Ovis aries: one gene and its partner. The protein of the gene in region 2 purifies or fractionates together with the protein of the main gene of each other region. This does not show direct contact. Links are inferred from orthologs where the notes say so. Each region holds a gene or a part of one and is shown on either strand. Other genes may lie near its edges.

Region 1 (3,960 bases), on a different chromosome or scaffold from region 2:
GTACACATTCTGTTCTTATCAGCAGTCCTACATTTGAATAGTTATAAAATTCCTCATCAAATCCACAGTTTTTCCAGACAGGAACCCATTGTGTCCCCCTTTGCCTGGCAAAGCAATAAAGCAATGTTTTTCTCCTTCAACCCCACTCCCAACTATTTTCACTGTTTCTTTTCTGACCATTATTGTTGGTCATCTTATTTCAGGGCTATTACTGAGAATACAATAGGAGTGGTCAAGAGACTGAGAAAAGCCACAGACTAGAAAATATTTTCTGATAAAATCTGATAAAGAGGTGCTATCCAAAATACACAAAGAACCCTTCAAACTGAACAATAAGACCAGGAACACCCTGGGAATTCCCTGGAGGTCCAATGATTAGGAGTCCCTATTCTCATTGATGAAGGCCCAGTCTCAATCACTGGTCAGGAAACTAAAATCCCACAAGTTTCTTGGGGCAGCAAAAAGAAAAAAGACTAAAACCAGACAAAAGATCTATATAGATACTTCACCAAAGAAGCATATGAGAACATGCTCAGTTTCACAAATCACTAGAGAATGGCAAATTAAAATCACAATAAGATAACACTGCACTCATAGGCTAAAACTCAACCTGCTGTTGATTCACTCTGAGCTAACGACTAATTTCACAGGGTCAAAAAACGCCCTTTGGTCCCCAAAGAGCGAAGCCTGACTCCCGCAGGTACTACAGACACAACACCTGAGAGGAGGGGGCGTGGCTCTTAGAGCTCGGGCGAGACCGTTAAAGCAGTTAGGACTGCCCCTGGCGCCTGATTAAGATATTTAATTCCAACTGTTGGAGATTTTCCCTCCGCACCCTACTAGAATATTAGTTTTTATTTATGATAAATGTTAATACATTTTAATTAATTTTAAGTCTAATTTCAGTTGATCCTGAAGTGCCTTTTGTCCCCAGCCAGCTGTAAGCCTTCAGGAAAGGTTACAACTTAAAATGATGTAACTTTTGCTAAAAACAAACCAAAAAATCCCAAACTAAATTGTACCACCTCACAGGGAACTTGGCACGGAAGGAACGGAGGTTTTTTTGTCGTTGTTGTTCCTCAGGCATTTAAGTAGTTGCCTATTACTCTGGGGGCGGGGCCGCGTGTAGACCCGATGGACCCGGGTGAGGCCGCCATTTTGGACTCTTCCCCAAGGAGCTTCAGCCGGCTTTTCGCGCTGCCGCCGCCGCTATCTGCGGCCTTTCTGGGCAGAATGAATGTGATAGACCATGTGCGAGACATGGCGGCCGCGGGGCTGCATTCCAACGTGCGGCTCCTCAGCAGCTTGTTACTTACAATGAGTAATAACAACCCGTGAGTTGAGGCGGGGAGCGGCCTGGGTCTCTGGAGAAAGTGGCGCCGGTTTGGGAGCGGGGACTGTGGGGGCCTGGGCATTGGCGGGAAGGAGCGGATGCGGGCTCCCGGCTGAGGTTCCGAGGTCAGCAAGGGCCTTGTCGGGCGCAGCAGGCTTAGGAACGCAAGTTGAGTTCGCCGGGTCCCCGCGTTGTGCAGGGCGCTGGGACGCGCTCCCTGCGGGAGATGCGGCGAGCGGCTGCTTGGAGAAATGAAGGCCGAGGCTCTGAGAATGACCCTGGCTAAGATTTCCAGGAAGTTGGAAGCAGAGGGTTCGCTAAGGCACTGTCGCCGGTCAGAGCGACAGTCACATCTCTGGGCTGACTCCTCTCTTCCCGAAGAACGTTTTCTCTCGCCCAGGCTCAAAGAAGCCTTGTCCTGGCCCCTGATTAAAATACTTCGTTTTTAGTTTTAGATCCTCGTCCCACGTCTGAGGTTGATTTTTCTTTTCCCCTTGAGTGTATCAGTAGCATTTGCTTTCTCGTTCGCGCAAACACCTGAAGACGGGAGACTTCCTGGGTGGGTGGGAGTGGCGCGTTTTTAAGGACCCGCAGTGACCCTTTGACGTTTTCAGATAGTCCATAGGATTGCAAAGAGTCCGACACGAGTAAAGTGACTTAGCACACATTGCGGATGAAGCGGTGGGTTATTTCTAGCCTTGACTGCTTGCCCCTTTGCTTAAATTTTTCATTGTGTTTAAATGAAAATTTCTTCCCACGGCCTATGAAGGCAAAGAGCTCTCTCCGACTCAGTCTTACCTACTCTGCTCTCTGTATTCGCTTCCCTGGTTATGCTCTTCTGTTACTTGAACACCCCAAGGTCTTTCTCAGCTCAGGGCTTTTGCGTTTACCATTCTGCTTGGAGTCCAACTCAGAGCTCCCTCCTTTAGGTTTCAACTCAGATATCCTTCCTAGAGAACTCTTGTCTGGCCGTCAGAATTGTTCCTGGCCCTCAGCATTCTATCTCTTTACCCTGTTGTATATTATACATCACTTTTTGTTTGTTTGTTTGAGATATCTTTGACTTGTTAGTTTCAGATGTGCAATATGATGATTTGTTATTTGTATATACTGTGAAATGATCACCATAGTAAGTCTAGCTAACATCTAACAACCCCACATAGTTACAGAAAAATATTTTTCTTGTGATGGGAACTTTTCTATATTCTTTTTTCTGTATTCTTCTTCTTAACACCTAATGAAGTCTGTAGTGTGCCTGTTGATGTGCAAAGAAAGTGCCTGCAACCTCACAAAGTTGAAACATGGTGTTCAAGTTGACACATTTAGTAAGTGGAGAAGCCACAATGTCTGGGTTTTGGTCCTTCTGACTCTAAAGTCTCATTCTGACCCTCCATAGTCTACTGTGTCAAGTGGCATTACAATCTACTCAGTGTGGACCGGTTTGCATTTGCTCTGGAAGCTGTCTGGGCCACTTAACTGTGTTGCAGCTGTTTTTCCCTGTTTGATTTCCACTAGTGTGCTTTTAGACCTCACTATGTGAGGCCCATCATTTTACCACCATCCACTTAGTGTTGACAGTGAGGAGCCCTGGTCTCTGTCAGCCTACTTTGTTTATTCTGGAGCCTTTCACCTGGTTCTTAGTGAGTTGTCAAAGTATACAGTGTCAAAAAAAAAAAAAAGTATAGTGTCAACCATTGGGAATTTATACACTGGTCAGTCATTATTCTTGGTTTTTCAGATGTTACAGGATAATTAGAAGGAGGTTGGTCTTCTGATTAGATTTAGCCCATTCTTCTTTATATTAGGCTGAACTGGCAGTTTCCTTCCTGCTTTCAGGAGGTGTTTAAATTCTGACCGTAATCATTTCTATTTTAAAGTTTATTACTTAATCTCCAGTATATACCATTAAAAAAAAAAAAAAAGAAAGCAGTATGAAGGGGTATGCAGATAAGTGTCTGCTCCGGAGTCTTGAACTTCACCCCACCTTTTCCCTTCTCTGGAGGCAACAAATTAACAGTTTTTCATGTATCATTTCAGAAATAACTTGTGGATGCAGTAAGTAGGCATGTAAGTTACAATATATAAACATCTGAATGCTTTCTCTGAGGGAAATATTATCAAATCAACTGTTTTCTTTCAAATCTTCAGTCGCTCAGTCGTGTCCGACTCTTTTGTGACCCCATGAATTGCAGCACGCCAGGCCTCCCTGTCCATCACCAACTCCCGGAGTTCACTCAAGCTCATGTCCATCAAGTCGGTGATGCCATCCAACCGTCTCATCCTCTCTCATCCCCTTCTCCTCCTGCCTCAAATCCCTCTTAGCATCAGGGTCTTTTCCAGTGAGTCAACTCTTCGCATGAGGTGGCCAAAGTATTGGAGTTTCAGCTTCAGCATCAGTCCTTCCTATGAACACCCAGGACTGATCTCCTTAAGGATGGACTGGTTGGATCTCCTTGCAGTCCAAGGGACTCTCAAGAGTCTTCTCCAACACCACAGTTCAGAAGCCTCAGTTCTTTTGTGCTCATCTTTCTTCACAGTCCAACTCTCAAATCCATACATGACCACTGGAAAAACCATAGCCTTAACTAGAGGGACCTTTGTTGGCAAAGTAATGTCTCTGCTATTCA
Region 2 (4,064 bases):
CACCCCTTAGATAGAAGGCTCCAGGTGCAGTATCCCAGGTAAAAGTGGGACAATTCCAGCTGGCAGGGTGAGTTGAAAATGTTGGTTTTTGTGCACACTCCAAGAGGCTGCATTCAACAAAGTGTTTCAATTATTTATGTGCCTGGCACCTCAGATAATCTATTCAGAGTGCAAAGGTAGTCTTTTCTAACAACAACAACAAATTTTAAGTCTTAAAGGTAAACCTGACTGTCTCTGCCTTACATTGTTGTTTAGTCACTAAGCTGTGTCCAACTCCTTTGTGACCCCACGGACTGTAGCCCACCAGGCCCCTCTGTCCCTAAGATTTCCCAGACAAGAATATTGTGGGCTGCCAGTTCCTTCTCCAGGGGATCTTCCCCACCCAGGGATCAAACCCGCATCTCCTGCATTGGCAGGCACATTGTTTTACCACCGAGCTACCAGGTAAGCCCATCTCTATCTTATAGAACCACCATATTCTTCTGGGTATTTCAAAACATCAAGGACTTCCATATTCCATTTTCCACCTAGAGATTTTGTACACGTCTGGTGTTCAAAAATATACTCTCTCTAGGACGGCTGCACCCTAAAGTCATGTGAAAACTTTAAATCATTACTATAAATATCCACTGTTTTTGCATTGAGTCCTCGCTTTTGGACCTAAAGCAAATACTGTGACCTTTCTACCCTTCCGTTTCTTCATGGGAAATAACGCTAATTCCTGTATTACAAACCAGACAATACATGTAAAGTGCTTGGCACAATCCCTCAGCACTGTCGGCCTCACTCGCGCACCCTTTACAGAGGGCCGGTACTTTTCACCTCTGCACTCAGCTTTTCTCCCAGGATTTAGTATATGACCCCGCCCGGGTTCAGGGGGCGGGAATCTGAGAGCGGAGGGCGCGTGCCGGAGAGTGAGAGGTCACAGTGCAAAGGTCAGAAGGCAGTCGGTTGAGGCTGTGCGCTAATAACTGAAGAAAGATCTCTGGACTTAGGTTGCCTCGGCAACCTCAGCGGAGGAGGCACAAGGTGGCGGGGACCGCCCACTCGCTGCAGCTTTCGGTCCCCAGCCCACCTTGGGCTTTAGCTCCGCCCCTTTCTCCCTGGAGGTTGGCAGCGGAAGTCGACACAGACGCCGACGCGGTTGCCTAGCGATACCTTTTTCCCAAGATGCCCAGCGTGTTGTGTTCTTCTTAACCAATTAGAGAGGCGAAGCGGCCTCACCGCGAGCCAATAGGCTGCGAGGTCGGGGCCCGCGACGGTTAAACCGGGGCTGCAGATCAGGGCGGCCGAGCGTCGGGGCTGGAGCTCTGAGGAGACTATACGGCCCGCAGACGTCCTGCGCGGGCCCCGCCATGCCGACTCGGGTGGAGGACTACGAGGTGCTGTACACCATTGGCACCGGCTCCTACGGCCGCTGCCAGAAGATCCGCAGGAAGAGCGACGGCAAGGTGAGCGCGGGCCTGGTCCCTGCCTCCGCCCCCAGGCCGCCCAGAGGAAGCAGGGAGCCTGGCGGTGTGCATCTGAAAAGCAGGGTGCTCAGAAGAGCCAGCCTTCTCCCCCAGATCTGTGTCTGTCCTGGGTCTCTCGAGGGATGGGAAGCCGCATCCTTTTTTTTTTTTTTTTTTAAATTTGTGAATCTGTGCCTTAATTCTTTGTTGTTGTTGTTCTGTCGCTCAGTCGTGTCCGACTCTACAACCTTGTGGACTGCAGCACGCCAGGCTTCCCTGTCTTTCACCAGCTCCCGGAGTTTGCCCAAGTTCATGTCCATTGAGTCGGTGATGCCTTCCAACCATCTCGTCCTCTGTCGTCCTCTTCTCCTCCTGCCCTCAGTCTTTCCCAGCATCAGAGTCTTTTCCAGTGTCAGCTCTTATCACGTGGCCAAAGTAAAACTAATAAAATGTGCCAAGTAGAATGTATGTATATATATATGTATATTTCTTCTTCTCCTGTCTTTTTTCCATTCTCTTCCATTTTCTTCCTTTTTTCTGCTTTGACCTGCCATGGGCCTTCTGTTGGTGACTGGTAGCTGACTCCTGAGCTGTTTTTAGAGAAATGTAATTCTCTATCATAACCATCAGAACCTAGAACTTTTATGTCTTGTAGTCAGAATTCATTTAGTTCAGTTCAGTTCAGTCGCTCAGTCGTGTCCGACTCTTTGCGACTCCATGAATCGCAGCTAGCCAGGCCTCCCTGTCCATCACCAACTCATTATTCCCATTGTTAGATTCATATCTCCCAAGGTGTGTGGGTAGACCCACACAGAAAAATAATGGAAAGGAAGTTAGCTCAGATGGAAGGGTCTTTACTAAGTTCTCTTACCCTAGAAATTTTGACTAGTTGGAATGGTTGGGGACTTCAATCGCCTTTGCTCCAGCTTTGATTAGAGTACCTTCTGCCAACCTCCCACTAGGCATTGAGGGCAGAGGGTTGGGGGCGGCCTAACCTCCCTCGTCACCCTCTGTTGCATCATTCACTGCTTAAAAATTAGGGGAAGGTTATGGAAATAAACTCAGGGGTCCTCAGCTCATTAAACTAAATTAGATAAATAGTGACTGTATGATCTGTTTACTAGATAAGTAACTTTTTTTTTTAATTTGAAAAATTTGGAGTTATAATGAGTTCATTTATACCTTGGAAATTTTTATTTCAGATATTAGTTTGGAAAGAACTTGACTATGGCTCCATGACAGAAACTGAGAAACAAATGCTTGTTTCTGAAGTGAATTTGCTTCGGGAGCTGAAACATCCAAACATTGTCCGCTACTATGATAGAATTATTGACCGGACCAACACGACCCTGTACATTGTCATGGAATGCTGCGAAGGAGGAGACCTGGCTGGTGTGATTTCAAAGGGAACCAAGGAAAGGTAAGATAAATTCATCTCTTAAATGGGCCTAGTTTTGTTTCTGGAAACATCCTATATTAGGATCAGGGACAAAGTACTTAGTAATGGGGAAGAGTCGTCTTGTGTTTGTTCAGTGGGTCCACAGTACTTTAGAAAATCCCTGGTAAGTCAACACTTGAATTTCATATCCAAATAATTTATTTCCCTATGTGTATACTTAGAAAACTAGATAATTCACATCCTGTCATCTTTGTAATGGTTTCATTCAGCAGATACATGCTACATAACTGCTTTGATTTCAGACAATACTTGGATGAAGAGTTTGTTCTTCGTGTGATGGCTCAGTTGACTCTGGCCCTAAAGGAATGTCACAGACGAAGTGATGGCGGCCACACTGTGCTGCATCGGGATCTGAAACCAGCCAATGTCTTTCTGGATGGCAAGCAGAACGTTAAGCTTGGAGACTTTGGGCTAGCTAGAATATTAAACCATGATACAAGTTTTGCGAAAACATTTGTTGGCACACCTTATTACATGTCTCCTGTAAGTATTTCAAAATGTATATACTTTTAAAACATCTTAATGCTAAGCATTCAAGCAAGGAAATTTATTTCTTTGTTTAGTAATATCTAATAGCCAAGAATTAATAATACTGTTTTATTTTAAATTGATAATTTTCAAATGGACCGTCAGACCACTAAAAGATTATTATTATTTTTTGTTTTGATGTGGACCATTTTTAAAGTCTTTATTGAATGTGTTACAGTATTGCTTCTGTTGTTTATGCTTTGTTTTTTTGGCCACAAGGCATGTGGGATCTTAGCTCCCCTACCAGGGAGCAAACCTGCACTCCCTGCATTGGAAGGCGAAGTCTTAACCACTGGACCCCCAGGGAAGTCCCACCACCAGACCGCTAAACTTCTATATCAGCAATGCAAGTCAGACTTTCACTGAATGGCTGCCACGTGCTAAGCTTGGGGATCATAGAGATGAAATAGGTTTTGTCTCTGCCCTTAAGTACAGTACTTCCAAAGTGCCATAGGTCCTGGACACCAGCTTGTTCTCAGCTGGAGTGATAGTTTAAAATGCAGAGTCCTGGGCTCCAGTCCAGGGACTTAGGACCTCTGGACTGGTCTTTGCACTCAACTTTTTATCTTTTTGTCCCCTACCTTTTTATTTTGGACTCTGTATTTTAGCAGACTCCTTAGATGATT

What was found. Proteins that work in one complex are often made in the same cells at the same time.
Region 1: the proteins of NEK2 (region 2) and ANAPC7 purify together in Homo sapiens (affinity purification with mass spectrometry; 3 studies listed by BioGRID and IntAct, with this or other methods). This does not show direct contact. The link is inferred for Ovis aries from reciprocal best matches to the Homo sapiens genes NEK2 and ANAPC7.

What each region holds. Positions count from the first base shown.
Region 1 is NC_056070.1:54,337,691-54,341,650, reverse strand, and holds the start of ANAPC7 (anaphase-promoting complex subunit 7), read left to right. Parts: upstream 1-1,160; 5' UTR 1,161-1,233; coding exon 1,234-1,334; intron 1,335-3,370; exon of another isoform or gene 3,371-3,400; intron 3,401-3,960. UniProt on the Homo sapiens protein: Component of the anaphase promoting complex/cyclosome (APC/C), a cell cycle-regulated E3 ubiquitin ligase that controls progression through mitosis and the G1 phase of the cell cycle.
Region 2 is NC_056065.1:71,252,455-71,256,518, forward strand, and holds the start of NEK2 (serine/threonine-protein kinase Nek2), read left to right. Parts: upstream 1-1,264; 5' UTR 1,265-1,355; coding exon 1,356-1,451; intron 1,452-2,653; coding exon 2,654-2,871; intron 2,872-3,152; coding exon 3,153-3,393; intron 3,394-4,064. UniProt on the Homo sapiens protein: Protein kinase which is involved in the control of centrosome separation and bipolar spindle formation in mitotic cells and chromatin condensation in meiotic cells.